2 linked regions of the Rattus norvegicus genome follow. The protein of the gene in region 1 purifies or fractionates together with the protein of each later gene. This does not show direct contact. Links are inferred from orthologs where the notes say so. Each region holds a gene or a part of one and is shown in the gene's direction. Other genes may lie near its edges.

Region 1 (15,365 bases):
CCCGGAACTGTGCTCCGGAACTGCAGTGCAGGAGCTGCTGCAGTTCCGGGTCGGGTTGGCGCAGGCGGTCTGGCGTGTGAGGATACTGCCGCGGTGAGTGTTCTTTGTGGATCCGGAGCTGGCAGGCCTTGGCTAGCTGCGGATGTCTCCCCATTGTCTCCGAAGCATAGTGACTCACAGGTGTCTCTACAGCCTTGGTTCCCGATGGCTCACGCCTTCTCTTAAGCATCAAGGCCCAGCAACCTCCCTTGAAGTCTCTATCGGCTATAGTGCCCGTGGGACTCTTGGAAGCGGTACAGGTCACTCCCAGCGCCCTATTTCTAGTGACGTTCCCGTTCTCTCGTCAAGGTGGGTCCGAGGTGCGGTGGGGGTCGGGGGTCGCTTTGCGTCCCATACCAGAGACTGCTGGGCGATCCTTGCCTGCGAGTCAACGTGCCTCCACACAGACGCCATGTTAAGTGATTTTTGATGTACGTCACTATTTCGTATTCTTCAATGACAACCCAGGTGGGATAAATATCTCATTATCCTCAAATTGTAGTTAAGGAAACTGAGGCACAGAGATGTTCAGCAAACACTCAGAGTTGGCAAGTCCAGGATCCAGATTTGAATCGAGTTTTACCTAATGCTCTCCACAATATTCTTTTTCATATAAAGAGGGCCAATGTGAAGCCACTTTCACTCAGATGAGTCATGCATAGAGTCATGCATAACTGCCTTCCAGACTTTAAAGACAGGGTCTTGTGTAGCCAAGGCTGGCTTTGAGCTCCTGATCTTCCTACTTCCGTTTCCGAGGGCTGGATACCCACTATATACGGTTTTACACAGTGCTGGGGCTGGAACCTAGACTTCCCGGGTTTTAACCTATCTGGCGAAGGCCAGAATAGAAATGGGACTTCTCTGGTTCTACTAGGGAAGAAAGCACAGTGCACTTGTTTTAAAAAAAAAAAAAAAACCACACTCTCTCAGACTCTTACTCCGTGTTCAAAATGACTTCTGTAGTAACTAACTGGTCAAGCATCAGCCTATCTCTTCTTACTTTCAATTATTTTGTGTACAGTTTAAAATTACATATTATTAGATAGTACCACACCCCTCTCATTTAAAAAGATTATAACACTAAATTCTGAGAGGAGTAGGGAGTGTGGTTGAAGGTTGCAACAAGTTAAGTGTTGGAGCTAGGATCAGAACCAGAGTTAGCTCATGTATCTTTTTACTCTGTTGCCTGCGTCCCATCTGTTCCAAGCCCAACTACCTATTCTGTGAGTGGGTTTCATTTTCTGCATGAGAACATCTTCTCTATGCAGGGTAAACCATCTTCATGTCCTCAACTGTTTGCAGGGTTGAGTACATTTTAGGAAAGTGTGTGTTGCCCTTGAACCTGTGCTCCACAGTCACTAACCCAAAAGAGCATTTCTTTTCAGCAACCATGAAGTTGAAGGAGACAAAATCGAAGCCCAAGTCAGCAAGCCGTGGCACATTTCAGAGGAAGGGCATCAAGGTTGTGGGGAAATGGAAGCAAGTGACGATCGACCCAAATCTGTTTGCAGATGGACAGATGGATGACTTGGTGTGCTTTGAGGAACTGACAGATTACCGCTTAGTCAAGAATCCCTCCCGTTTGTTCTCAGATGAGACGACCAAGAAGAGAAAGGCCCAGGCTGTGTCTGAAGAGGAAGAAGAGGAGGAGGGAGAGTCCAGCTCCCCAAAGAAAAAGATCAAATTGAAGAAGCAGAGAGATGCAATCCTCGTTGCTGAAGGCAGCGCTGCCCAGGATGAATGTGAAGGGAAAGCTTCTGAGCCAGGGGCTCAGGGAGAAATCACTGTGTGTTCTGATCAGAAGGTAGGAGGAGCCACATCGGAAAGCCTGGCACAGACTGTTCCAAGAAAGAAGAAAAACAAAGGGAAAAAAAAATTAGACACTTTTCAGAGCACTGCCCCCAAAGTGCCCAAAAAAGCTAAGACGTGGATGCCTGAGGTGCAAGACCAGAAGGCAGACGTGTCGGCCTGGAGGGACCTGTTTGTACCCAAGGCTGTTCTCCGAGCTCTCAGCTTTCTAGGTTTCTCTGCACCCACCCCAATCCAAGCGCTGACTTTGGCCCCTGCCATCCGTGACAAACTGGACATCCTTGGAGCTGCTGAGACAGGTAAGGGATGCTCTGTCTGCCCTAGGTAGAGCTCCTGGAGCCAGCCTTTGGTTGCTCACAGGCTGGGAAACTAGGAGAGGGGATTGTTGGGAATGTGGCCACAAAAGCCACGGAAGGTGTTAGAACCATTCAGCTCTGGGCTGAAATCTGTCCTGCTTGAATCTGGTACTCCGCTCTGTTTCTGAGGCCCAAGGTGAGATGGAGGTGAGAACACTACTTTGTGTCTGCACAGCTGGACCGCGTCAGATTGAGAGTGTTCTCTCACAACTCTACCGAGAGTTTTTAAAATCAAAAATGCATGTCAGAGTTTTTACACATGTTCATATTGTATGTATTGAGGTATGTAGGTTTTTGGTTTTAGTCTGCTGATAAAGCAAATTACATTGATTTCCAAAAGTGAGAACCAGACTTTCCTCACACATAGTGAGCTTGTCACAGTGTGTTTATACATCACTGGCTTTGGTCAAGTGCGGCTGTGGCATTAGAATAGTCATCTGTAGTTTTCTTGTAGTGTTGGCATTAAACTGGTCTCATTAACTTGAAGTGTTGTCGTTTCAGTTATCAGAGTGGGTTTAAATAATTGGTGTTTTCCTCAGCCTTAAATATTTGTTAGAGTTCACCTGGACTTGCTCTTTCCTATCCAGGAAGGTTTTTAAATACGGAATTAAATTTTAAAATAAGAGCATTGTTTTCTTTTAGTCATTTCCCCCTGAGTGATTCTTTTCCACTTAAAATATTATCCAACTTTTTGTTTCATGTGGCTGACAATCTGTTAGCAGGTTTATATATTAAACATGAGGGGTAGGATCCAAGTCTATATATGCAATTCATGTATTTCATACACTCCTTAAACAGAAAGCCTGCAGGTCTTGGTGGCACTAAGAATGTATAAAAATTTTTAGCATTTGGGAATTTGGATGTTTGGGTTGTGGTACTCAACTTGAATTAGGAACTTTTTGAAAACAAAAACCATGAAGGTTAGTGCCTTTAAGAAGCAGAAGGGTCTGTGAGTTTGAAGTCAACCTGGTCTACAGAACAAGTTCCAATCCAGCCAGGGAGATGTAGACCCAGTCTCAAAACAACAGAAAACAAGATGTTTGTAACTACAATGCACTTCTGATAGAACAGGTTCTCTTGAGGTTTTACCAAGCCAACTATTTCTCTACCTCAACTGGAGTCAGATGTCCTATAGTGCAGCTCTCTTCTGACATACCTGGAATGAAAGTCATTCCCCTGTAAGCTCTGTTCCGAGTCTTAACAAGACTACTTCCTTATTGAGCATCCCCTAGTCCTGATTTATTCAGCTTCAGATTAAGGAGCCCATGTTACCCCCACCCCCAAGGGTTTAATACTTTTCTCAATGACTCCCAGACTTCATGGAGAAGTGTTTACAGGCTTAAAGGCTATATAACTTGGGAATAGCCTGGTAGAGATTGACAGGGCTAAACATTGAGGCTAGTAAGAGGGCAAAGGGCTTCTGTGCACCCATTCTGGGCATGTCACCTTTTTATGCAGTCTCGAGCCTGGAAGCTTTTTAAATTGTTTGTAGTGTTATAGGGCTTCCATTATATGAGCATGATTGATAAAAACCTCCATCTTTGGAGATTGATCTTCAGTCCCTCTCTCTGGTGGTCAGGAGGGGTGTGTGTGTGTGTGTGTCTGTGTGTCTGTACGTGCATGCGCGCGTGTGTGCATGCATGCGGGCAGAAATTCCAGCCCTGCAGCCACCAGTTCCTATCTTGCAGTTTTCTGGAGACAATTAGTCTTTAGCTCACAGTCTAATTAATTTACAAAAAGACCCTTTTGAGCGTCTGTGTCTTACACCAGGAATGTAGAGGAAAACTAAATACCACAACTAAATATACATATCAAAAAGTGCCAAGGGTTTCATTTCAGAACTGCGAATGAGACCCAGTATACACTCAAGGCACTGTCTGGCTCCTCTCTTGTAGCCAGGCCTTTGCTGTGTCTTTCAGTGTTTGCTTTAGGGTCACAGACTACGTCACAAGTTGTACATATGCATCTACTGTAGTTTACCCTCGAGTGATACAGTGCCTCATGTGTGGCATGAGAACCTCTCAAGGGCTAATTTCCATCTCCCCTTCCTTGGTGCTTTTTGTTTTGTATTTCTGTTTTTGTGATGGAAATTCTAAAATATGCTTTTACTGTTTTGCTGTAAGCAATTTTTTTTAAAGAGGTTTAAAAAGAAAACAGTTTCTTTTGTTTTTGTAACTTCTGATACACTTCAGTTCCTATGTGGATGGATATTTCCATGGCTGAATGATATTTTTCCTAAACCACCATCTTTTGTCTGCCTGGAAGACTTCGGCTTGCATTCTTTATAGCACAAAAGTAGCCTTTGTTTTGTATTTTGTCTTAAAGGAATTTTTTCTAGATAGTTCTGATTGTCAGTTTTACTTTTCTGAGATTGTTAAATACGGATGCTGTTATGTTTCGGCTTTTACTGTCTTTTTTTCCCTTAAATTTTCCAGGTGTTTTGTGGTTTTTTGTTTGTTTGTTTGAGCTCTTTCTTCTAATGCTTTGCTTGTTTGGTTATTTTTCACTTAGAACTGTCATTTTCTTTGAAAACTTCATAAAAGTTTTTTCTCCCTTTTTTCAAAGTTTTAAAAAACATTTATTTCTGTATGTGTATACATTGATGTATAAGTTTGTGCAAGCCAAGGCCTGTTTATAGAGGCCAGAGGACAACTTGTGGGAGTCAGTTCATAACTCCCACCATGTAGATCTTGGGAGTGGCCTCAGGTGCTCAGACTTAAGTGGCACCGGCTGAGCTGAGCCGTCTCACTGGCCCATTTGGCCCGTCCCCATCGGAGCTCTCCGAAGCTAATGGCTGGGACTGTTTTTCTTCCAGAGCTGGTGCATTGACTTTGTCTGGGGCATTCTTACCTGGCAACTTCAGTATCCAGGAAGGACACCTTTCAGGTCCCCTAGAAGATCCCCCAAACACAGATGAGATAGATACTGCTGAACCCTGTTTGTATTGTTTCCCCTGAACATTTATAGATTGAATGTGTTTATATCTTGAGCATTCATGCTCCATGGTCATACTTTCTGCAGATTGATATAACAGCAAAACTAACATAAACTTCTTTACAATTTCATGGAAAGAACATTCATTCATATTGTAGATCTTAGTAACCAATTCATGACTTTTTTTTCTCTAAGTTCGAGAATTTCGAGAAAAACACTTTACAGCTTCTAGCTCTAGCCTGTCTGAGTTGCTCATTGGGGTAACTACTCTCAGGTGGTAGGACCAGTAGATAAAGTAAGAGCTACCTGAACATAAGCAGGGCGCATAGTCTGATAATATTCATGGGTGGGTAACATTTATAGTGGGACAGAAGGAAGACTCCTGTCTTGTGTAGATGGCGCCAGGCAGTGTTCGAGTCCCCTTACTATTTGGAGTGATATATGGCTTAAAACTTTTGAAATCCTTATTTATGGGATTATCAGTTTAATAACTTCTTGGACCATAAGTGACCATGAGTAGCTGAAATGCAGAAAGTAAAATGAGTTAAGGAGAAAATCTCTACTTCTAATTCCTGGGTTGACCCTTAGGTGTTATGGGCTCCATTATGCCTTCAGAGGTCAGTTTGAAAACACTCACGCATAAAGTCAAACATGTTTAGATTTCTGAAAAGAGTGATTTATTTTATTCCTTCCTTCACTGAAAAGGGTCTTAGGGATATGTGCTGTACAGATTCTCCACAGGACAAGACTGACCCTTCAGGCTTTTATGGTTTCCTCACTTTGGTGTCTCTGGTGACTTCACACTGCACCATGCGTGCTATCCCTGTGCTGGAGGACCTGTGTAGAGTGCTGGTGCTTTGGGTCAGTCAGGGAGGCACGTGACTCTTTGAGGTTTCCTTATTTCTATGCAAAGGCAGGAACTTCAAACAATGACTTGCGCATCATGGATTTCTGTTGGTCTTGCTTTACTTCTCAGGAAGCGGGAAAACGCTGGCTTTTGCCATCCCGATGATTCACTCAGTGTTGCAGTGGCATAAGATGAAGGCTCCACCCATCCCAAGTAGCGCTGGAGTGCCACCGAGGTTAGGAGCTGCAGCCCATCGTGGCTCACCTTGCAAGGATGGAGCGAAGTCTGGAGTATTGCCTGAAGAGGCCACAATTGAGACTGAAGCACAGCCCAGTGACTCTGGGGTCCAGGCCACAGCCAAGGCTGGCGCTTCTGCTGCCTCAGCCCAGGCAGGGCTCTTCTGTGATGATGATGCTGGTGAAGGGCCTTCTTCCTTAGTCGAGGAAAAGCAAAGTAAGGACAGAGAAGAAAAGTTGGATGAAGAGCAGGCTGGAAAGTTAAAGCAGGAGTTGTGTGACCAAATTGCTGTTTATAAAGTACACCCAAGGCGCCCTCTGCTTGGACTGGTCCTGACTCCTACCCGAGAGCTGGCTGTCCAGGTCAGACAACACATTGATGCTGTGGCCAAGTTTACAGGTGAGATTTAGTTTCACTTAGTAACTGTTTCTAAGCAGGTCTCTGAATGCCAGATGACAAGAGTAAGAGTTGTGGCTCCTGTCCTAGGGGAGTGTTCTCATCTGCTGGACTATTAAGTCCTTTAGAAATCAGTCGATAGGTGTTTAATTTCCTCAAGGGGACCAGATCTATAACATGTTTGTGAGTAGCCGGACCTTTTAAGAACAAAAGGTCCCTGCTTTGAGATAGAAGCATAATTCTGTTCCTCAGGGAAAGGTTTTCACAGTGTGGTGTTTATCGTAACTAGAGCCACATTGCAGGGCTGAGTTCTTCAAGCCCAGCGTACTTGCTCAGTGCCTCAGCTGTGTTAGCATGTGAGTTCACTTCTATCCAACGGCTCCAGAGCGATTCTCTCTTAGAGAGAAGACACACCAGACCCTAAAGGGCTCCTTATAGCGTGTCACATCATAAACATCCTTCCCAGCATTCTGGTCCAACACTGCTCACCTTCAGAGCTCTGGAAATAAGTGACGAGGTTCAAATGCAGCCTTTCTGTTGTGGTTAAGGAGAGAATGGGAAGAAATGGCAAAGTAGACAGGGTCCAGACCACAAAGTGCAGACTACTTGGTAAGCCTCTAAAAGTCAGGACAGGCCAACTGTGGCAGCATTTCCTTGGCATAGAAAGCTGTGCTGGGTAGTGCGTGCTGATCCATAGGATGAGCAGCCAGAGGGAATGACAGTATCTGTTGGTTTCTGTCCTGTAGGGATCAATACAGCAATTTTAGTCGGTGGAATGTCCACACAGAAACAGCAAAGGATGCTGAACCGCCATCCTGAGATTGTGATCGCCACCCCTGGTCGGCTCTGGGAGTTAATCAAAGAAAAACACCCTCATTTGAGTAACCTTCGGCAGCTCAGGTGAGAGGTGGCCCCTCCCCCTTCCCCCTTAACCATCTCTGAAGTAAGCCTGAGGTGGCTGCATGGTTGGTGTGTGCAATGCTTTCTCACTATTACAGAATCTTGTGGCCATCCGGGCCCTCTTCTCAAAAACTGAGCATGCATGAGAAAAGTTAATGGGTGCCTAGAAGTGATGGCAGGGTGCTGTGTGCACCACGGATGAAAACATGCAAGTGGGGTGGAAGCAGGATGTCTTATAGAGGTTTCCTTCCCTGCAGGTGCCTGGTCATAGATGAGGCTGATCGGATGGTTGAGAAAGACCATTTTGCTGAACTCTCTCAGCTGCTAGAGATGCTAAATGACTCCCAGTACAACCCCAATCGCCAAACTCTTGTTTTTTCTGCCACACTAACCTTGGTACACCAAGCTCCTGCACGAATCCTTCATAAGAAACACGTGAAGAAAATGGATAAAACTGCCAAACTTGACCTTCTCATGCAGAAGATTGGCATGCGGGGCAAACCGAAAGTCATTGACCTCACAAGGAATGAGGGCACAGTGGAGACGCTGACGGAGACCAAGATCCACTGCGAGACAGATGAGAAAGACTTGTATCTCTACTATTTTCTCATGCAGTACCCAGGTCGTAGCCTGGTATTTGCCAACAGCATCTCTTGCATCAAACGCCTCTCTGGGCTCCTCAAGGTCTTGGATATCATGCCACTGACCCTGCATGCCTGCATGCACCAGAAGCAAAGGCTCAGAAACCTGGAGCAGTTTGCTCGGCTGGAAGAGTAAGTGAAGTCTGTCTCCAGAGGCCTTGAACCATGAGCCACTGTGCTCAGGAGGGCAGTGGGGCAGGGAACTAGGGACTCCACCTTCTGTCATAGGTACCCTAGCAGCACAAGGCAGGCTAGCTCTTTTTTCCTTAATTTTATCTCTGTATTTGGCAAAGTCATTCATTCATTGCGTTTTTTTGCTATTAATGTTGTTACAGAGACTTCCAGTAATTAGACAATAAACGAAGTCCTGGGCATCCCCTTAACTTTTAGCATCCTTGGAAGCAACAGAATAGGTTGTGATTGAGAGAGCACAGCCTCCAGAACCAGAGTATCTGAGAGCAGATCCTGACCCCTTCACTTCCTCGCTGGTCAAGATAGCCAGCATGCCTGTGCTTCACTGCCTCACATGTAGGGTGACAGGCGTGGGGTTGCAAGAATGGAGTGACTGGGAGCAGTGCAGGGAAAGTGTGGGCAGTGCCTGCCAGGGTGGCCTTCCGTAACCACAGTGACCCACTACTGCTTATTTCCGTTGCTCTTCTCACTTCGTTAGATGATCAGATGACTCCTACAACATGGAAATGACAGGCTGGGTCTCAGATTTCTGTCAGACTCCAGAGCCCATGGCTCATCTCTCCATGTTTGTCCATCTGCCTGTGAACCAGTGGTGCAGGGAGTGGGCATATGGTGTCTGTCTAGGAAGAGTGAGGCAGTCTCTCAGGATGGCGGAGAATAGCGAGAAGGTATTAGGAGACAAGGACGGTGACCCAGAATGGATATGGCTTCACTTCATTCACAGCACAGAACACAGCATGTGCTTGAGACAGTAAGACCCAGATTTGGGGTCCTGATTTCACAACAGACTAGCCATGTTCACACCATGGAAAGTGAATCTCTCAGTCTCGGGTTCTTGATTGTAGAAGTGAGATACTAGTATTACCTGGTAGGGCTGTAGTGTGGAGAGCTTAGCAGGTGCTGAGCTGACTGATAACTACTGTTATTTATAATTATGGTGTGCTTATTTCCACACAGCTGTGTTCTCTTGGCAACAGACGTGGCAGCTCGGGGTCTGGATATTCCTAAAGTTCAGCATGTCATCCATTACCAGGTACAGCTCTTGGTGTTAATGCTACACACACACACCCCTGCATCCCATCCCCTGTCACACACACACCCCTGCTCCTCATCCCCTGTCCCACCCCTGCAGTGAATGAGGAAATGTTAAAGCAGAAGTCGAGCAGAGGGGAGGAATATTCCTCCTCAGGTTCCTTGTAACAGGTTCTCATTAGCATCAGTGCTCACTGTTACTGCTCTTCAGATACTTGGTGAGAGCCCTATCAAGTAGCCTTTCTCTTCAGGCTACTCGATATCGACAGATGAAAGTGTGAGCTTAGTGTTTTCTGTCACTATGACAGAATGCCTTAAACATGGTAATTTTTAAAGAGGGTGTGCCTATTGATTCTGGGGCTGCAAAATCCAAGGGCGTGTCACCAGCATCCGCTCAGCTTCTGTGGGAGCCTTGGTGGAAGGACAAGCAGGAGGTAAGCAGGAGGGAGACAGCCTTGGCGTGTGTCTCATGCCAGTCCAGACCCTGGAGAGCAAGAACTCTAGTTCTCTTTCTGTCCCATCCACAGACACCTCCCACTAGGCCCCTCCTAACACTGCTGTACTTGTAACACCAAAGAATTTAGCTTCAGCATGAGTTTTGGTGGGGATAGACCACAGCGACATAATTTTGGCTTAGGATTTTTAATAATTTTAGTTTTTATTGAAAATGGATTTTTTTTATACACTATATTCTGATCACAGTTCCTCTCCCCCAGGTCATCCCAGATCTTCCCCACCTCCCATCTTCCTTACCCACCCACATCTGTACTTTTTCTTTCTCTCTCTTTACAAAATAGGCAACTGAAACAAAGCAAAGCAAAGCAAACAAGCCAGAGTCCAACTGTAAAATACAAGAGACACACAGATACAAAGGCACACACTCCCATACACAAAATCCCAGAAAACCACAGAATCAGAAACCATAATATATAAACAAAAACCTGTAAAGGGAAGGAGGGGAGCATTTTAAGACCAAAAAGAAGAAGAAGAAGAAGAAGAGGAAATCTCTGAAAATACTGTCAAGTTCATTTTGTGTTGGCCGTGTACTGCGGGGCCTGGGGCCTGACCCTAAGCGTGGTTTGTATACCCAGTGAGACTGCTGGAGAAAACTAACTTTTCTTATGCCAGGGGTTGTCAGTCGAAGACAGATAGCCTCCGGGTTGGGGATGGGGGCTTGTATTCACCCCTCTTCTCGGCCCTAGGGCCCTTGGCTTAGATCTTAGATCTGTGCGGACCCTGTGCATGCTGCTTCGGTCTCTGAGTTCACACGTGTGTCGGTCCTGTTGTGTCAGGAAGGCCTCATTTCCTTGTGTCTTCCATACCTGCTGACTTGTACAGTCTTTCCACTTTTCCTCTTCCACAATGTTTCCTGAGCCCTGAGAGGAGGAATTTGATGGAGACATCTCACTAAGACTTAATGTTCCAGTGTCCAGTTGTGTGTCTGTATTTGTTCCCATCTGCTTCAGGAGAAAGCTTCTTATTGATGATAGCTGAGCAAGACACTGCTCTGTGAGTACAGGAGGAGGATGCTATTAAAGAGCCATTTAGCTGCTGTGTTCCTTTAACAGAACAGTAGTATTTGGTTTGCCCCTGGGTATGTGTCAGTTTCTTGGCTGCCTAGCAGTGTCAGACATGGGTTCTGTCTCAAGGTGTGGGCCTTGATTCCAGTCCCATACGGCCAGTCACTCCCACAGTGTTTGTGCCACTCTTGCAGGTCACCATGGTAGATGGAGGGGTTGGTAGCTGGGTTGCTATTTACCTTTTTCTTCTGGTAACATGCAGAGTACTTTCTCATACTGTGGACATTAGTCCACATAGCACTGGTACATAGGGATTCGAGTAGTTCTAGGAAGGTTCTAGGTAGGCAGCACCTCCACTTCTCCATGTTCAGTGAATTCTGTAGGTGTGGCCTTCAGCAGAAGGGCTTTACCGTCAGCTTGTGGAGAGCAACAGTTAGTCTTGGCAATACCCTGGAGTTTTTTTGGGGTGTGTGTGTGCAGGGGGGTCTGTAGGACTCCTCACACACAGCTGTGTGTTAAATGGCTGCTGTGCAGTTCAAGGGCAGTGAACTTAAGACTGCCCTTGGCTAAATCCTGGCTGTGTGACCTTCAATAAATAGTTTGTATCCCTTGGTTTTCTCATTTTGTAAATGACAGGGTTGTGCATCTCTGGGTTAGTAGGGCACAAAGGTAAAGAGCTTGGGCAGCCAGTTGGAAACACTGACTACATGTTCCAGGTCAGTAGTAGCAGTAACGTTAGTGATTGTGACAAACCAACAGTACCATGTAGTTGTAGCTGGAAGCGTGGGCTCCAGATCCTGCTGCCAGGAATTGAGCACCACTCTGATGCTTTAGTGTCCATAGCTTTGGGCAGGTGAGAGCCCTCCCCCACTGAGGGCATGCCCGCTGAGGTATGGTTTCACATATTTACATCTGCTTTGCATCCTCCTAAATATTCATAAGGGATGCTGTGACTATCACCAGAAACTGGCAGTCAGATTTAAAACACAGAGGCCCCTTCACACCCTGAAATATGTTCTAGCAACTGGTTAAGGTGGTGAGTGTGGCTGCAGACCATCCCACGGCTGGGAAGGAGGTTCTGACACTTGGACTCCATCTTTGGCTCTCCACACACACAGGTACTTGGGACCATTCATTTCTGTATGTCACCTGTAGGCTGGAAGCGGCACCCACTCCTGCCCTGAGGGTTGTTTTGAGAGCTGAGTTGAGTGAATGGTGACACCTGACACTGTAAGTGTGGAAAGTCCGGCTTCTAGTAGGATGTTTTTAGTGCTTTTCATCTTTAATTTCGTTGCATTTAAAAATCTTTTGAGGGTGTAGATTTCAGAGTAGCACATTTCTGTGATAGAGGGACTGGGTCTGCTGTAGATGTCATCACCACACAGTACAGTCCCAGCCCTAAGAATTCACCACATCCTGTAGAGGAGCAATGAGATGTGGCCCCCACCATAACATGAGGCAGGAGATATTAGAAAATTACCACATGTGATACAATTTGAGAGGGCGCTGAGTGCTTTCTAGAAGATGCTGGCATTCTGGGATGGAGAGGTTGGGACATGCAGAGGGGGACAGGTAATGTATGGAGGGAGCATGCTTGGGGTATGTCTTAGGGCTCTGCTGCTATGCTACATACCATGACCAAAAGCAACTTGGGAAGGAAAGGTTTGTTTGACCTTACAGCTTATGTCTGCATGAAGGGAAGTCGGTGCAGGAACTGAAGATGAGACCACAGAGGAGTGCTGCTTACTGCCTTGTTCCTCATGGGTTACTCAGTTTGCTTAATACAACCCAGGCCCTCCTGTCCAAGGGGCATTGCCACAGTGATTTCACTGAGGCTGGGTCCTGTTCCATCTGCCATAAATGGAGAAAATGCCCACAGGCTTATCTATAGGCCGCTCATTCTGATGGCAGCATTTCTCATCAAATTGAGAAAACCTAGCAAGCACAGGGTTACTTAGCCTGGGGAGAGCACAGGACTTGGTTGGGAAGGGAGTAGGTGAGTAGTTTCTGAGCCTGCAGAGTAAGCTGGGAGCAGGTGGCTGCAGCTAGAGAGTCATGGGAAGGAGCTGGCCCTTGATGAAGAATGGCAAATCTCATTTCTAGAATCATGGTAAACGGTTCGTAGTGTTACTGAGCCTGCTGCACTTCATTAGTGGTGGTGGTTACAGGAGTCAGGGAAGAGGGCACAGGTACCCATGTCACGTGCTTGTGGACAGCACACCTGCTATACAGGTCATCCTGGGTTAACGTGGTCATGGAGTTGGATAACCTAGAGGAAGTGGTGGATCTGAGTGTTCTGTAGTTTCCGCGTCTATAATATGTAGACAGTGATGAAGTATTTCATATGACTAGGATAATAGTCTTTATCACACTTCTGTTGCTGTGGTAAAACAGTGTGATCAGGGTGCTTAGAGAAGAATCGACTTATTTAGCTCACGGTTCCACAGGGTTCCAGAGGGTGTGAGCTCATGACGGGGAGTGGAGCTAACAGGTGGGAGTGGGTGGAGCAGCAGCTGCGAGCTCAGCTGGAAATAGGAAGCAGAGAGCGAGTGCTGGAAATGGTATCCAGCTTTTGTGAGCTCAAAGCCTGGCCTCCAGTGACAACTTCTTCAGCAAGGTGATGCCTCCTAGGCCTCAAAAACACAGTTGCCAGTTGGGGACCAAGTGTTCAAATACCTGAAACTTAACAGAGAACTTCTCATTCAAACGAACACATACGAAGTATTTTGTGATTGGTTGGCTTAAAGCAGCCACTCAGTAACTGTTGGTTATAAATGTACCATCACTGGTCATGCCGAGCTGAGGAGTCTGTGGGGTTTCCAAGTGGAGACTGAAGTAGATGGTATTGGTCACAAGGGGAGTGAGAGTGGAGAAGACGAGAAAAACAATCAGATTGAGTATGAAGAGCTGGACCATTTTGGAGGCCATGGGGGTGGGGTAGAACCTGTACAGTGGGTAGACTGTCGACTTAAGCACAGTCTGAGTGTCAGCATGTACGGGTAAATTTTCTGTCCCTCCGAGAACAGAGCCAGTTTTGGGTGTGCCCTGAGGGAAAGAGCGGTGTTAGGCACTGTCTGTCTGCGTGCTGACCCTTGTTGGGCACTGTCTGTCTGCGTGCTGACCCTTGTTGCTGCTTTGGCAGGTGCCTCGCACCTCGGAGATTTATATCCACCGAAGCGGTCGGACGGCTCGTGCTACCAGTGAAGGCCTCAGCTTGATGCTGATTGGGCCTGAGGATGTGATCAACTTCAAGAAGATTTACAAAACTCTCAAGAAAGATGAGGACATCCCACTGTTCCCAGTGCAGTCAAAGTACATGGACATGGTCAAGGTAAACATATTAAATTCCAGTGCACCGCCTCCTCACAGAGCACCTTACCCTAGGGAACTGAGAAATGGTTCTGCCAGTGGCTAGACAGTGGCTTTTGTTAAAAGGCTGGAAGTGCCAGCTCTAGGAGAAAGTCAGAAAGGGGGAGTGACTAGAAAAGTCTGCGTTTTGCCCCTCATTCACTTTGATATCTGGTCCTGAAATCTCCACCTGCTTCTGCTCCAGAGCTCAGCCACAGAGACATCTGTCAGGGAGCTGTGAACAGGGAGGTGAATGCTGAAGGCCTGGTGCTCCCTGAAGCAGGGACCGTAAGGCTCAGGAGCATCCGCTGTGATGTCTGGGTACCCCGGGCCCCAGTGTATTAGGGTGTAATATGGGGTGTTTTCCCGAGGCTCACCAGTGTGTGTGTAGGGTAAGCCCCCAGCACAGTGAGGTGTCTGTGAAGCATGGGCCCGATAGGTGTGTGGTTATGATGTGGGGAGCAGAGCCTTCGTTCTACTGCAGAGATGAGGGTGAAGAGAAGATGGGAGATACGGGCATTGAGGGCGTGAAAACAAGGGGCGATTTAAGGGTATGTGAGCACTTTGGCATGAATGTTGGTTGTGTGAGGATTTAGATGGGGCTGGTAGAGAGCGGGATTGTAGAGAATTCCTGGTAAGGCTCCTGGAAGTCACCCCACTTCCATGCTTATTCCCACTACACACGGTCTCTCCGTGTCAGGATAAGCACAGCGTCGTCACTGCAGTGGGACCTCAACACCCATGAGAAAGGACTGAGGAAAGGGGAGACAAGCTCACTGGGACAGAGCTCTAAGGAGGTGCAGGCGGGCTTCTGTGGTCGTGATGGTCACCTGGGCTGTTAGCAAGGGTTTGTAGGATCTGTGTTGGTTCTCACTGCTCACTGGCCACATTGCAGTTTAAAAACTGCTTCAGTAAGCTTGCTGAGAGGCCCAGCCCCTTATCACATGACTCTTTTGTGTCACTGCCCCCTCAGGAGCGGATCCGTCTAGCCCGGCAGATTGAAAAAGCTGAATACCGGAACTTCCAGGCTTGTTTGCACAACTCATGGATCGAGCAAGCAGCGGCGGCCCTGGAGATTGAACTAGAAGAAGAGATGTACAAAGGTGCCTGCCTG
Region 2 (15,911 bases), on another chromosome or scaffold:
TATAGTAAAAATGGCCATTTTACCAAAAGCAATCTACAGATTCAATGCAATCCCCATCAAAATACCAATCCAATTCTTCAAAGAGTTAGACAGAACAATTTGCAAATTCATCTGGAATAACAAAAAACCCAGGATAGCTAAAGCTATCCTCAACAATAAAAGGACTTCAGGGGGAATCACTATCCCTGAACTCAAGCAGTATTACAGAGCAATAGTGATAAAAACTGCATGGTATTGGTACAGAGACAGACAGATAGACCAATGGAATAGAATTGAAGACCCAGAAATGAACCCACACACCTATGGGCACTTGATTTTTGACAAAGGAGCCAAAACCATCCAATGGAAAAAAGATAGCATTTTCAGCAAATGGTGCTGGTTCAACTGGAGGGCAACATGTAGAAGAATGCAGATCGATCCATCCTTATCACCCTGTACAAAGCTTAAGTCCAAGTGGATCAAGGACCTCCACATCAAACCAGACACACTCAAACTAATAGAAGAAAAACTAGGGAAGCATCTGGAACACATGGGCACTGGAAAAAATTTCCTGAACAAAACACCAATGGCTTATGCTCTAAGATCAAGAATCGACAAATGGGATCTCATAAAACTGCAAAGCTTCTGTAAGGCAAAGGACACTGTAGTTAGGACAAAACGGCAATCAACAGATTGGGAAAAGATATTTACCAATCCTACAACTGATAGAGGGCTTATATCCAAAATATACAAAGAACTCAAGAAGTTAGACCGCAGGGAAACAAATAACCCTATTAAAAAATGGGGTTCAGAGCTAAACAAAGAATTCACAGCTGAGGAATGCCGAATGGCTGAGAAACACCTAAAGAAATGTTCAACATCTTTAGTCATAAGGGAAATGCAAATCAAAACAACCCTGAGATTTCACCTCACACCAGTGAGAATGGCTAAGATCAAAAACTCAGGTGACAGCAGATGCTGGCGAGGATGTGGAGAAAGAGGAACACTCCTCCATTGTTGGTGGGATTGCAGACTGGTAAAACCATTCTGGAAATCAGTCTGGAGGTTCCTCAGAAAATTGGACATTGAACTGCCTGAGGATCCAGCTATACCTCTCTTGGGCATATACCCAAAAGATTCCTCAACATACAAAAGAGACACGTGCTCCACTATGTTCATAGCAGCCTTATTTATAATAGCCAGAAACTGGAAAGAACCCAGATGCCCTTCAATAGAGGAATGGATACAGAAAATGTGGTACATCTACACAATGGAATATTACTCAGCTATCAAAAACAACAAGTTTATGAAATTCGTAGGCAAATGGTTGGAACTGGAAAATATCATCCTGAGTGAGCTAACCCATTCACAGAAAGACATACTTGGTATGCACTCATTGATAAGTGGCTATTAGCCCAAATGCTTGAATTACCCTAGATCCCTAGAACAAACGAAACTCAAGACGGATGATCAAAATGTGAATGCTTCACTCCTTCTTTAAATGAGGAAAAAGAATACCCTTGGCAGGGAAGGGAGAGGCAAAGATTAAAACAGAGACTGAAGGAACACCCATTCAGAGCCTGCCCCACATGTGGCCCATACATATACAGCCACCCAATTAGACAAGATGGATGAAGCAAAGAAGTGCAGACCGACAGGAGCCGGATGTAGATCGCTCCTGAGAGACACAGCCAGAATACAGCAAATACAGAGGCGAATGCCAGCAGCAAACCACTGAACTGAGAATAGGTCCCCCGTTGAAGGAATCAGAGAAAGAACTGGAAGAGCTTGAAGGGGCTCGAGACCCCAAAAGTACAACAATGTCAAGCAACCAGAGCTTCCAGGGACTAAGCCACTACCTAAAGACTATACATGGACTGACCCTGGACTCTGACCCCATAGGTAGCAATGAATATCCTAGTAAGAGCACCAGTGGAAGGGGAAGTCCTGGGTCCTGCTAAGACTGAACCCCCAGTGAACTAGACTATGGGGGGAGGGCGGCAATGGGGGGAGGGTTGGGAGGGGAACACCCATAAGGAAGGGGAGGGGGGAGGGGGATGTTTGCCCGGAAACCGGGAAAGGGAATAACACTTGAAATGTATATAAGACATACTCAAGTTAATAAAAAAAAAAAAAAAGAATCGACAAATGGGATCTCATAAAACTGCAAAGCTTCTGTAAGGCAAAGGACACTGTAGTTAGGACAAAACAGCAACCAACAGATTGGGTAAAGATCTTTACCAATCCTACAACTGATAGAGGGCTTATATCCAAAATATACAAAGAACTCAAGAAGTTAGACCGCAGGGAAACAAATAACCCTATTAAAAAATGGGGTTCAGAGCTAAACAAAGAATTCACAGCTGAGGAATGCCGAATGGCTGAGAAACACCTAAAGAAATGTTCAACATCTTTAGTCATAAGGGAAATGCAAATCAAAACAACCCTGAGATTTCACCTCACACCAGTGAGAATGGCTAAGATCAAAAGCTCAGGTGACAGCAAATGCTGGCGAGGATGTGGAGAAAGAGGAACACTCCTCCATTGTTGGTGGGATTGCAGACTGGTAAAACCATTCTGGAAATCAGTCTGGAGGTTCCTCAGAAAATTGGACATTGAACTACCTGAGGACCCAGCTATACCTCTCTTGGGCATATACCCAAAAGATGCCCCAACATATAAAAAAGACACATGCTCCACTATGTTCATAGCAGCCTTATTTATAATAGCCAGAAGCTGGAAAGAACCCAGATGCCCTTCAACAGAGGAATGGATACAGATGTGGTACATCTACACAATGGAATATTACTCAGCTATCAAAAACAATGACTGTATGAAATTCATAAGCAAATGGATTGAACTAGAAAATATCATCCTGAGTGAGGTAACCCAATCACAGAAAAACACACATGGTATGCACTCATTGATAAGTCGATATTAGCCCAAACGCTTGAATTATCCTAGATGCATAGAACACATGAAACTCAAGATGGATGACCAAAATGCGAATGCTTCACTCCTTTAAAGGGGAACAAGAATACCCTTGGCAGGTAATAGGGACACAAAGTTTAGAACAGAGGCAGAACGAACACCCATTCAGAGCCTGCCCCACATTTGGCCCATACATATACAGCCTCCAAACTAGATAAGATGGATGAAGCAAAGAAGTGCAGGCTGACAGGTACCGGATGTAGATCGCTCCTGAGAGACACAGCCAGAATACAGCAAATACATAGGCGAATGCCAGCAGCAATCCACTGAACTGAGAATAGAACCCCCGTTGAAGGAATCAGAGAAAGGACAGGAAGAGCTTGAAGAGGTTAGAGACCCCATGTGTACAACAATTTCAACCAACCAGAGCTTCCAGGGACTAAGCCACTACCCAAAGACTATACATGGACTGACCCTGGACTCCAACCTCATAGGTAGCAATGAATAGCCTAGTAAGAGCACCAGTGGAAGGGGAAGCCCTTGGTCCTGCCAAGACTGAACCCCCAGTGAACGTGAATGTTGGGAGGAGGGTGGTAATGGGGGGAGGATGGGGAGGAGAAGCCCATATAAAATGGGAGGGAGAGGGTTTAGGGGGATGTTGGCCAGGAAACCGGGAAGGGGAATAACAATCGAAATGTAAATAAGAAATACTCAATTAATAAAGATTAAAAAAAAGTAAGTGCCAGGCCAGCCAAGGCTACATAATGAGACCTTTTCTCAAAGCAACATAAGTATTGTTTTATGTGTATGAGTATTTTGCCTGAATACATGCAAGTATGCTACATATGTGACTGGTGCCGGAGAATGCCAAAAAACAACAGATCTCCTGAAACTGAAGTTACAGACAGTTTTAAGCTGATACATGGATGTTGGAAATCAAACCTGTGTCTTCTGAAAGAGCAGCAAACACTTTTAGCCACTGAGCCATCTCTCCAGTTGACATAGCCAATTGTACATCGTATCTTCTAGAAATAAGAGAAAACACTTTCCATTTTTTTCTATTCTGTGTATGAGGGTCTGTGAATCAGACCAATATAAGATAAATGTCAACAGAACAGAAAATCAGAAAAGGAATTGAAGAACTTGATGACATAATCAAGTCGCAGGCCCTAGGCCAGGGATACAGCTCTAGAGGTAGAAGGCTCTCCTAGAATGTGAGTCGTTGGATTTGACTTCAGTACAACATGAACCAGATGTAATGGTTTCAATTAGAATGCCCCCCCTAGGGTGATATATTTGAGTACGTGGTTCCTAGTTGGTGGAAACTTTGGGAAGAGTTAGGAGGTGGAACCTTGTTGGAGGACATGTTTCACTATGGGAAGGCTTTGAGGTTTCAAAAGCCTATGCCATTACCAGATAGCTTTCTGTCTTCCTACTACTTGTGGATTAGGACATATGCTCTCAGCCACTACTACAGTGCCCTGCCCACCTGCCTGCCTACCCCCATGCTCCCTGCCATGAGTGTCATGGGCTCACTCTCTGAAATGTAAGCTCTAAATAAACTCTTCCTTCTACAAATTGCCTTACTCGTGATGTCATCCCAGTAATAGAAAACTAAGGTAGATGAGTTGAGCATGCGAGAACGTGGGAGGTAGAGGCTTTAATGTTTGCAGAAGATGGGCTCTCTCAGCTCCCAAGCTTCCTGCTACTGTTTGCTCCCATGACTTCTCTGCTCTCCTGCATTCTTCCTCTGGAACTATATACCAAAATAAACTCCTTTCCCTATAATGTCCATTGATCGTGGTGCTTTATCACAGCTGCAGGAAAGTAACTGATACACTTAGGAAGAGGGAACTTCAGTTAAGGAGTTGCCTCCATCAGATTGTCCTTGGGAGTTATGTTTTGGGGCCATTTTCCTGGTTGCTGGTTGACATAGGAGGGCCCAGCCCACTGTGGATGCTAACATCCTTTGACAGATGGCCTGGTTTATATAAGACAAGTGGTTGAGTATGAGCCTGGGAACAAGCCAATAAGCAATGGTCCTTCATGGGTTCTACTTCAGTTCTTGCCTTTGGATTTTAACCTATAAGACAAAATCTTGTTTCTCACTCAGGTTAGTTTTGGTTTGTTTTATCATAGCAACAGAAAGAAAACTAGTACAGCCTCAGAGGAGAGCTTGCTGGAGTTGGTTCTCACTTTGTACCATTTGGGTTCCATGGTCCAATTCAGCAGTACTTAACAGCAGTAGCCTTTACCCTCTGAGCCACCTTGCCATTGCCCTCCCCCTTTTGTGGAAACTGAGAAGGCCTCATACATTGCTGGCTGTCTAGGTGCTGCTTACTCAGAGTTTGAAATAGAAGCCAGAGCTTCAAAACAGGCATGTAAGCTCTGTACCGAGGCTGTACCTCCAGCCCCTCTTACAGTGTTCTCAATGTCATGATATTCCCCAAAGGGATTTAAGGAAGCCACATCTCCTCAGAACTTGCTCTCTTAGATAAAGACCTTTTTGTATCCCCTGAGTCTCAAAAATGTTTGGCTTAAAATAATCTTCAGACCAGGTCATTAAGATGGCTTGACAAGTAAAGGCACTTACCACCAGCCCCGAGTCCCCAGAACCGATACCGGGGAAGGAAAGAACTAACTATTGCAAGTCATCTTTTGACCTAGACACATGTGATACAGGGCAAAGGTGCACACACCCATACTCATTGACAGGCGTACACACAAAATCAATCAATCAATTAATCTATAAGTAAATAAACAAATGGAGAAGACAGAAAGACAGTTTTTAAATATTTATTTATTCCATGTATATGAGTACACTGTAGCTGTCTTCAGATACACCAGAAGAGGGCGTCAGATCACACTACAGATGGTTGTGAGCCACCATGTAGTTGCTGGGAATTGAACTGAGGACCTCTGAAAGAGCAGCCAGTGCTCTTAACCACTGAGCCATTGCTACATCCCAAGACAATTATTTCAACATAAGAAAGTCTTCAAACTTCTTTTTTTGTGTGTGTGTTTTCTCAAAATTCCTATTGTGTTATCTAAAGAAACCTACTAGGGAGCTGAAGAGATGGCTCTGTGGTTAAGAGCCAAAGGACCCTGGCTCACAGTCCTTAAGTCCATGTTCTGATACCCTCTTCTGTCCTCGGCACACACATTACACATATAGGGTACACATACAGACAGGCAAAACACTTATCACATAAAAATAAAATAAATAGGGACTGAACAAGTAGTTCACAGTTAAAAATATTTTCTACTATTCCAGAGGACTTGAGTTCAGTTCCCAGTACACTGGGCATCTCACAACAGCCTGTAATTCCAGGTTCAGGAGATCCCACACCATTATTCTCTATGGTCACCTGAATTCCTGAACACATAAAGACACATGTATAATATCAAAAATACAAATATATGTTGCACTATGTTGTGGAGATTTCCATGGTGAGGACTGGTGGAATTTCAAGTCCTGAACCTGAGGGAACTCAGGGACTGGTGGAACTTTTTTCTTGTATGCCAGAGTCTGGTCACTCTCCCACTTCTGGGCGGTTAGAAATCGTTAGGGATGTTAGGGAAAGAGGGGGACATGTGGAGATTTGGGGAGGCTGGCCATTGAAGCTCCTCAGGCAGGGGCCTGACCACTTTCCTGCTTGAGTGTTTACAAAGTTTACAAAAGGAGTCCATGGCAGGAAGACTTTCCCTATTGCTTGTAGGCCTGACTAGCCAACAGACATGGATAATGTTTGGGACTTGTAAATTTGTTTTGAGTCCATGGAGCCCAGGCCGTGGTCGAACTATGCATATGAGAACCGCTTTGAACTCCTGATCCTCCTGCCTCCACCTCCCAAATTCTAGGATTACAGGCGTGGGGCTCCAGTCATGGTTTATGCAGAGCTGGGCAAGCACTTCACCAACATTAGCCTCCGAATAATTTTTAATCCGTCTTAGAAAGTCTTTTAGATTGTGGTCAATAGGTGGCGCTCGAGGTCGTCCAATTCCAAACACCAGGGCTTGCTCTTCTTGCTACACTCCCGCCTCTGCTTCCGCTTCCGAGTAGTGAAAAGAACGTCACTTCCGGAGGTTCCGCGTGGATTAACTTGTTCGTGCTTCTCCAGTATGGCCGAGTATTCAGGCCCTGCGAAGCCGACTCTGGCGTTGAACCCGCGGGAGGACTCGCAGTTTGAGAAGGATCTGACGCAAATACAACGGCGCGCGAAAAAGGTGAGCGGCGGGGCTCTCTGGCCGCGCTGACTCGGGAGCCCACCTCTCACGGGCTCTGGAGACTGAGGCAGGCAGGGAATCGGTGTGAGGTTTGACCCTTTAGGCCCTCAGGGCTCACGTGAAAAAGGAGGTGTACCACGTGTGGGGAGCATGGCACCTCCAATTCCCAAAATATGTTAAAGCTGTCACATTTCCGCTTTGGCCCGCAAAATGGGGGTTCAGAATGAACCACAGCATTTGGAAGGTATGTATGTCCCCTTACGTTGTAGTGCTTAGTAGACGGAACAGACAAATCCAGGTCCTTGGACGAGCGGGGAAGCAGGAGGATCGAGAGTCAGAAAACAGCTCGGGCTCAGTATTCAGACCAGAGCTTCGCCAAAGAAAATAGGGATTACAGCCTGCCAAGCTCTGTTCCCAGACTGCCCCGAAAGGAAGTTTATATCCCCTTTGGTTTTCAGCATGAGGTGCACTGGAGAGAAAGGAAGATTTTCTTTCTTGTTTTGCTGTTGTCCTGGCGGGGGTGTCTTTTGTGCGGGTTGTTTTTGTTACAGTGTCTTTGTAGAGTTTTTGTAGCACAAAATTGCATCACATTTGCCGTGCAGTCTAGTCCTTGAACCATATATCCACTGGGATTACAGGTGTAGGTCACTATAGGTCACCCAGTACCCTACCTGATGGGAAACAAGTTCTTGTTCTCTAAGGTGGTGACAGAAGTATAGTCTTCACTGTGAAGGTTAATCGGAAATGATTCGATGTAATAAGCTGCCATCTGAGTTCAGAGTTGAAGGTCTTGGATTCGGAGTGACAATGACAGACTTTCACTTGATTGTCCATTAAGGAACACATGTGCCGACTGCTTTGTAGGGACAGGTGGGTGTGCATGCACACCACGGCACACATAAGTCTGTCTCTGCAGAGTCTGTGGCTCTGTGTGATTGAACTCAAGCCTCAGGTTTGCACAGCGGTGCTTAAGAAAAGAGATACAGACACCTAGTTTTTCAGTTTCTGCTGTGATAGAGAAATGTTCCCGGACCAAGAGGAATGAAGGGTGTTGAAAATTTTGTTGCAGGCCAGGTAAGGTTACATTTACCTTCAGTCCAGTGCTGGAGAGACAGAGGCAGGCAAAGCTCTACCTATCCTCTGAAAGGACTTTAGAAAGCTGGGGGGTGGTGGCACACACCTTTACTCCAGCACTCAGGAGGCAGAAGCAGGTGGGTCTGTGTGAGTTTGAGTCTGGCCTGGTCTACAAAGCTAACTCCAGGACAACTAGGGCTACACAAAGAAACCCTGTCTCAAAAAAGGGAAAAAAGACTTTAGAATTAAATTTTTCTGAAGTTAAGGAATGGTAACATACCTTTGTTGAAAAATAAAGTCCTTTGCAGAGAGCATAGTAATGCCTTTACTCTTAGTATTCATGAATTAGAGGCCAGCCTGGTCTACATAGTGAGTTTCAGGCCAGCCAAGGCTCCATAATGAGACCCAGGTCAGAAAAAAATGTGTATATACAATGTTTTGGTGCAGTGTGAATTTTTTAAAATGTTTATCTGTTTTGTCCTCAGCAGAAGAAGGAAGAAAAACTTAACTCTGGAGTAGTTTATCTGGGGCACCTACCTTCAACGCTCTCTGAAAGCCACATCTATGACTACTGTGCCCAGTTTGGCGATATTAGAAGATTCAGATTGTCCAGAAGTAAGCGGGTAAGATTCTGTACCTGAATTCAACTATGTTTATTTTGCTTGTCAATTGTACGGCCTCCTTTGTATTCATAGGCAAAACTTTGTTACCTACAAAGTTCCTACTTGGGAACTCTTCACAAGCGAAGCAGCATGGTGGCTCATACCGTTCGTCCCGGCACTTGGGAGACAGATAGGTAGACCACTGAGTTTGAAGCCAGTCACAGCTACATAATGTGGATTTCTATCTCAATAAAGAGAGAAAAATAATGAGGCTGTGGAGATAGCCCAGTTTGTAACTGTCCATCTACAGAACCCAGGTCAAAAGCCAGATATGGTCACATACATGTGTAATCCCAGTGCTAGGAAAGTGGGAATGGGGTTCCTGGGGCGCACTGACTAGCCAGCTCAGCCCAGCTCCAGCCCAGTGACAGGGTGACTGAGACCTGGGGAAATGGCCCAATGGTAAGAGCACTCGCGCTCTAAACAGGAAGTAGAACACACACACACGCACCTTTTCCTCAAGCACCAACTGAAAGGCCAAGTGAGCCCAGTACTGGGAGCTGGAGCCTGGATTGTAGAACTTGCTCCCAGCCAGTTTAGCCAAAACAGAAGTGGCAGGTCAGTTTTTTGGTTTTGGTTTTTGGTGGGTTTTTTTTTGTTTTGTTTTTTGTGAATTTGCTTTTACTGGGGCTTAAATCATGCGGTGGGATTTGTCTGTGGTACCACACCAGCTTCTTAAGGCCTGTTGCCCACTGGTTCCTCCCTGGAAGAGAATTTCCAACTCTTGGGGTTTCTGCTGGTTGCCTTTCCTAGTTCTCTGAACAATCCTTTCCCTTGGGAGACTTGTGCTGCCCCACCTGTCTCTACCTCCCTCCTTGGAAACAAGGTGTTGTTTTGTCTGAGTCTTCCATTTCCTGAGGAGGCTCCTGAGCTTTGGCTCTTGGTGGGTTGAGTTTCGTGGATCCCTTCTGGAATGTACCTGCTGTCTCCTGCAGGTGCCCTGGCTAATACAGCCAGCAGCTTTTTTTCCTTTGTCAAGTGTTTGTCCAGCTTCCTGATAATCTTAGCAGCCACTGCCTCTGCCTGAGTCATAGCTGCTAAATTCTGTAGACTCCACAGTCTCACGGAATGGCTACTCCTCACTTGCTCCAGAGGCCTCTCCCCAAATAACATCTATGGGCCCCTCTAAGAAATAATTGATTCTTGATGTACTGCTGCATTTATTTAACAGCTACCAGGAGATGTAGCCTTTGTTCACCGCTCAACTAGTGAAGGTACAGTGAGCAATGAATCCATATTTGCTCCAGAAACATGGTTCCACTTCCAGAGCCTAGAAGTGGCTCAGATACTAGGATGAGCCATCACTCCCATGACAGAGGCCATGTGTTTCAACAGGTTTTTAGATTTATATCCTGTAAGCACCTTTAAAGTGTTTGGGTTTCGTTTGGTTGGTTTGAGATGGAGATTAACTGTGGAACTCTGGCTGTTCCAGTCTTGCTACACAGACTAGGCTAGCCTTGAACTTGTAATTATCCTACCTCTGCTTCCCACATATTAGGATTATAGGCATTCACCACCATGCCCAACTCAAAGGGAATTTTATTATTTATGTGTATGGGTGTTCTGCCCGTCTGTGTATTTGTACACTACATGCATGCCTAGTATCTGCAGAAGCCAGAAAGGAGGACATCAGAGCTTCTGAAATAGGGGATTTCAGCTGCCATGTGGGTGCTGGGAGTTGAACCCAGGTCAAATGTTTTTTTTTTTTTTTCATCTTTATTAACTTGGGTATTTCTTATTTACATTTTGAATGTTTTTCCCTTTCTCGGTTTCCGGGCCAACATCCCCCTAGTCCCTCCCCCTCCCCTTCTATATGGAGGAGGTTCCATCCTCCTCCCATTACCACCCTCCCTCCAACAATCAAATTAACTGGGGATTCAGTCTTGGCAGGACCAAGGGCTTCCCCTTCCACTGGTGCTCATACTAGGCTATTCATTGCTACCTATGAGGTTGGAGCCCAGGGTCAGTCCATGTATAGTCTTTGGGTAGTAGCTTAGTCCCTGGAAGCTCTGGTTGCTTGGCATTGTTGTTCATATGGGGTCTCGAGCCCCTTCAAGTTCTTTCAGTCCTCTCTCTGATCCCTTCAACAAGGGTCCCGTTCTCAGTTCAGTGGTTTGCTGCTGACATTCGCCTATATATTTGCTGTATTCTGGCTATGTCTCTCAGGAGAGATCTACATCCGGCTCCTGTCGGTCTGCACTTCTTTGCTTCATCCATCTTGTCTAATTGGGTGGCTGTATATGTATGGGCCACATGTGGGGCAGGCTCTGAATGGGTGTTCCTTCTGCCTCTGTTCTAAACTTTGCCTCCCTATTCCTTGAATGCTCTTAATTAGCCACTTAACTGCTCTTTTGTGGGTTTTCTGTTTCAGACTGGAAACAGCAGAGGCTTTGCCTTTGTGGAGTTTGAGTCTGAGGATGTTGCCAAGATAGTTGCAGAAACAATGGATAACTACCTTTTTGGTGAAAGGCTTCTATCATGTAAGTACTCTGACCTTTCCTGCACTGTGATTGGATTAGGAAGTTACCTGTGGGGTTGTATTCAGGAAGAGAAGCAGACCGATCTTTAACGGGTGTTTGGGAATAACTTTGCTCAAATTGGAAACTGATGGGGTTAAAGCCCAGTGTAAGTGTCACATGCCTTTAATCCTGGGAGGCACAGGCAGGCTGATCTCTCTAAGTTCAAGGACATCCGTGGCTGTGTAGAGGCTTTATGTCAAAAAATGGAAAAGAAAACGGACGGTTAGATAGTCATGAGCCAATAAAGGGACAGCAGTGCAGCCTGAGTTCATTTCTTACCAAATGTTAGGGAACTCAACTGGGAGAGATAGATGGGCTATAGGTCAGATTCTTGACACCCGTAAAACTAAGAAGTTAATGTGAGGCCTGTTAGTGGAGTCTATACAGGGCAAGACCAAGAGTAAAGAATCACATTTCAAGATCAGACTCATCAACGATGGGTGCAGCGCTGGCTGTCAGCCCAGCTCCAGGCTCAGTGAGAGGCTGTTTGAAGGAAGTAAAACCAAGAGTGAGAGGGTAGAAGACTACAAGGAGCCCTCCTTGTTCTGCACAGATGACTCACCCACAGATAGGCATATAAATTGTTCCCACAGAGATCGGTAAGTAGAGCCCTGTGAACCTTGTGCCCCATCACTGAAACCTGTGGCATCACCATCCAGATCTCTGCCTTGGAAGGTAGACCTAAGTGCCCAGCCTGCCTACACCCATGGTAGCATGTGCCCTGCCTGGGACCAGTTTACAGGCATACAGCCTCCTGTTGGGAGAAAGTGGCTGGACAGAAACCTGAGGGCATAGGTGCTCTGCTTTATCTGGTTTGAGGAAAATACCAGAAAGACTCTGGATTTTACTGAGTTTTTTTTACTACAAATCTTTGCCCCGTCCAGGGTAGAGAGGGCTTATGTGGGACTGGGAGTCTAGTTTAGCTGGTAGAGTACTGGCCCAGCGTTCACAAGGCCATACAGGCACATACACTGCATCTGATGGCACTCACCTTTAGTGCCTGTATTTGAGCGGTGGAAGCTGGAGGACCTGAAGTTCACGTTCATTGCAGGCAACTTCAAGGCCAGCTTAGGCTGTGTGAGAGCCTGTGTTAAAAAGAAAAAAAAAGAAAGAAGAGGGCAGAGAGGTGGGCCACCAGGTAAAGCTGCTTGATGTGGAAGTGTGATAGTCTGATCCCTAGATCCCACATCAAAGTAGGAGAGAACCAACCCCCAGAGTTGTGCACTACCTCCACAGGCATCAGGGTATGTGAACCTACACACATGCACACTCATAGACAGTAATCATTGTTTGATGCTTAAAGGTTATTTCTGTCAAGTAGTTAGTTCATATCACAAGAAATAGCTATCTGGGAAATACAAAATTAAAAGAACCTTTCCTCTTTGTTTGTTTTATAGGTAAATTTATGCCACGAGAAAAAGTTCATAAAGACCTTTTTAACCAGTGCAATGTTCCGTTTCATCCGCCATCATTTCCAGCAGTGAAACGCTATAATCAGAAACGAGGACATTTGCAGATGTTAAAGATGGAATATCGGTTTAAGAAGAAGGAAAAATTACTCAGGAAGAAACTAGCTAAGAAGGGTATTGATTATAGTTTTCCTTCACTGGTAAATATCCTTTTCTAGTTTTCTTGGTGGTTTGTCTTACAGGGATGAGCTTCCTGCCTCACTGGTTGTAACTTGTGTCTGTGATTATACAGAATCTGCTTCTCACACTAGGTTTTTGGTTTGGTTTGTACATGTGGCTCTTTTGGTTGATGGGTAACCAGGCTGGAGCCTGCCCATGCGAGGCAAGTAGTCTGTTGCTTTTAATGTTTCTGGTACTGAGGATGGAACCCAGGACACTGAGCCTGCATCATCCATCCCTCCCACCCTCAAACTCTAGCCCCGTTTAGAGAAAAGATCTGGCTGAGTTGCATGGACAGGTTTGAGCAGTTTGTAGCTCAGGCAAGCCTTCAGAGACCCTCTTGCCTCTGTATCTTGGGATCCTGAGTAGATAGATGAACTTGCTTATACTAGTGGCTGCTCCTGTTGTTGTATTAAGAAGACTGGGTCTCTCATTCAAGCTGCCATCAAACTTGTTATGCTGCCAAGAATGGCATAGAATTTCTGGTCTTCCTGTCTCTGCTTTCTAAGTGCTGGGATTACAGGCATACATAATGATTCCAGGTTCGTGCAGTCCTGGAGGTATAACCCAGAGCTTTAGGTATTTTACTTTGTATGAACTACATTCCCAGGCCCCTGCCAGCTTTTTTTCCCCCAGTATAATTTCCTGTCTGTGTACCAAGTGGTTGCCAGGTATCCTTGGAGACCAGAAAAGAGTGTTGGATACCATAAAACTAGCTCACAGATAGTTGCAAGTCACCATCTGGGTGCTGGGAATTGAATCTGCGTCCTGAGAGAATGGTCAGTGCTCATAATTGTTGAACAATCTCTCTAGTCCCTAGCTTTTTTTTTTAAACCAAGGTCTTGCTCCATGGTCTAGGCTCCCCCAAATTGCAGGCTTTTCTGCCTCAACTTTCCAAGTACTGTTTATAAGCATGCACTACTCACCCTGGTTACTTACATTCAAACCATTTGGCAATTGGACACTGATACTTAAAATGGGAATTCAGCTACCACATATGCATATAGCTGATAAATATGCAAATTGTTTATTTGCAGGTCCTTCCTAAGCCAAAGAAAGAGATTTCAAGCATTGCTAACACTCATGGGGATTCTGAGGCTAACCAGGTAAGATAATCTGGATAATGGGCACTGGTTACTATAGAAATACTTTCAGGAGTGTTGGCAAGACTTGGAACAAAGACACTTGCCAGCAAGCCTGGCTACCTAGTTCAGACACTGGATCTCACATTGTTGAAGGAAAGAGCTGACTCCTAAAAATTGTCCTCCGAGCTACACACAACACACACACACACAACACACACACACAGACTAATCAAAAAAACTTTTTTTAAGGTAAAAAAGTAATTTCCACTACTTCACGTTTTGTTAAAGACTTCATATAGTTGGTGGGTGTTTGGGGGTTTATTGGGGCACTTTTTTGAGATCTAGTAATTGATCTTGAAATCTTGAATATAGCCCAAGGGAGCCCCAATGTTACACAGTAAGCCCCCAACTAAAGTGTTCTGAAGATGAACCTCCCATCCTCCTGCTGTAACTTTAGGCTAGAACTGGTCTCTTGCATTGTGAGAGAGTATCTTTTTTTTTTAATTATTTATTTATGTATATGAGTACACTGTCGCTGTCTTCGGACACACTGGAGGAGGACATCAGATCTCACTACAGATGGTGGTGAGCCATCATGTGGTTGCTGAGAATTAAATTCAGGTCCTCTAGAAGAGCAGTCAATGCTCTTAACTGTTGAGCCATCTCTCCAGCCGCAGCATTGTGATTTTTAAAACCCTAAAATTGTGTAGAAGCTGAGTCAGTGAGAAAGAGCACTTGCTACAGAAATATGAGGACCTGAGTTCAAATCCTAGAATCCACATAATGTCAGATTCATGCTTTAGAAGAGGGGAAACATGGACATGTGACACTTGCTGGCCACCAGTCTAGCTTCAGGTTCAGGGAGAGACTTTGTCCAAGGGAAATAAAGATTTATAAGGTAGGATACCCAGTGTCCTTTTGGCCCAAGCAGGTTTGCATACACACATTTGTGAGCCATGTGGGTGCTAGAAATTGATCCTAGGTCCTCTGGAAGAGCAGCCGGTGCCAAACCATCTCTCCAGCCCCCTGATCTTCATTATCTTGTCAGTTTAGCTAAGATGTTCTTCATGTTCTTTCAAGCTGGAAATAGTCATAATAATCAAAATCAGAATGAAGCAGGTGAGCATGGGGCTTGTGATTGTGTATAGGTTAGATTTCAGCAACCCCAGGAGCAAGAAGTGAATTAGCAGAGGCGTTTCTCTGGTGCTGAGTCCCTTGCTAGTCAGGAAACAAGATAAGGAAGCCTTGCTGGACTTGGCCCTCTGTCTGCGACATTAAGGAGTCCCAGGTGTCTTTCACGAGGGTTGACAAAGGTTTCCTTAACTGACTCTTAGAATGTCTTCTGTCCTCCATAGAACCTGTCAGCTTTTTCCCCACATAACTGTAATTAGGTGGCATCGATTTCCAAGCTTTATTGTGCCTTCCTCAGAAGCTAGGTATCTGTTGCTTCTTTGCCCCAATCTCAAGTGCAGAAGCATTGTGTCAAAACTTGAGGACACGCTGTGGTGTGCTCCTAGCTGAGATAGGCGTGCACCATGCCATCTGGGCATAGCACAGCCTTTCTTTACCCTGTTAACATGAGCAAGAAGAGTAAGAGGTCTAGGAGGAAGCAGTCGTCATCTGTGGACAGCCAGGTGAGCATGTCCTTGTATGCTGGGAATCAGTTGCTATAGACATAATTTGAAGGAGGAAAAGCAGTCTTCCCTTGTGTCGAGGGAAAATAAGAACAAGCTGAAAACAGATCATGGTATACCTAAAACTAGGGGGGTAGAGGTGTCGGGTGTTCGCTCCTGGTAAAGGCTAAGA

Evidence for each region.
Region 2: the proteins of Ddx24 (region 1) and Nifk purify together in Homo sapiens (affinity purification with mass spectrometry; 3 studies listed by BioGRID and IntAct, counting the BioPlex papers as one, with this or other methods). This does not show direct contact. The link is inferred for Rattus norvegicus from reciprocal best matches to the Homo sapiens genes DDX24 and NIFK.

Annotation. Positions count from the first base shown.
Region 1 is NC_086024.1:128,331,398-128,346,762, reverse strand, and holds the start of Ddx24 (ATP-dependent RNA helicase DDX24), read left to right. Parts: upstream 1-47; 5' UTR 48-93; exon of another isoform or gene 94-507; intron 508-1,424; 5' UTR 1,425-1,429; coding exon 1,430-2,147; intron 2,148-6,114; coding exon 6,115-6,621; intron 6,622-7,364; coding exon 7,365-7,518; intron 7,519-7,775; coding exon 7,776-8,291; intron 8,292-9,308; coding exon 9,309-9,384; intron 9,385-12,021; coding exon of another isoform or gene 12,022-12,087; exon of another isoform or gene 12,088-12,133; intron 12,134-14,045; coding exon 14,046-14,234; intron 14,235-15,224; coding exon 15,225-15,354; intron 15,355-15,365. UniProt on the Homo sapiens protein: ATP-dependent RNA helicase that plays a role in various aspects of RNA metabolism including pre-mRNA splicing and is thereby involved in different biological processes such as cell cycle regulation or innate immunity.
Region 2 is NC_086031.1:31,939,146-31,955,056, forward strand, and holds the start of Nifk (MKI67 FHA domain-interacting nucleolar phosphoprotein), read left to right. Parts: upstream 1-7,000; 5' UTR 7,001-7,032; coding exon 7,033-7,137; intron 7,138-8,696; coding exon of another isoform or gene 8,697-8,699; coding exon 8,700-8,834; intron 8,835-11,244; coding exon 11,245-11,353; intron 11,354-12,789; coding exon 12,790-13,001; intron 13,002-14,057; coding exon 14,058-14,126; intron 14,127-15,911.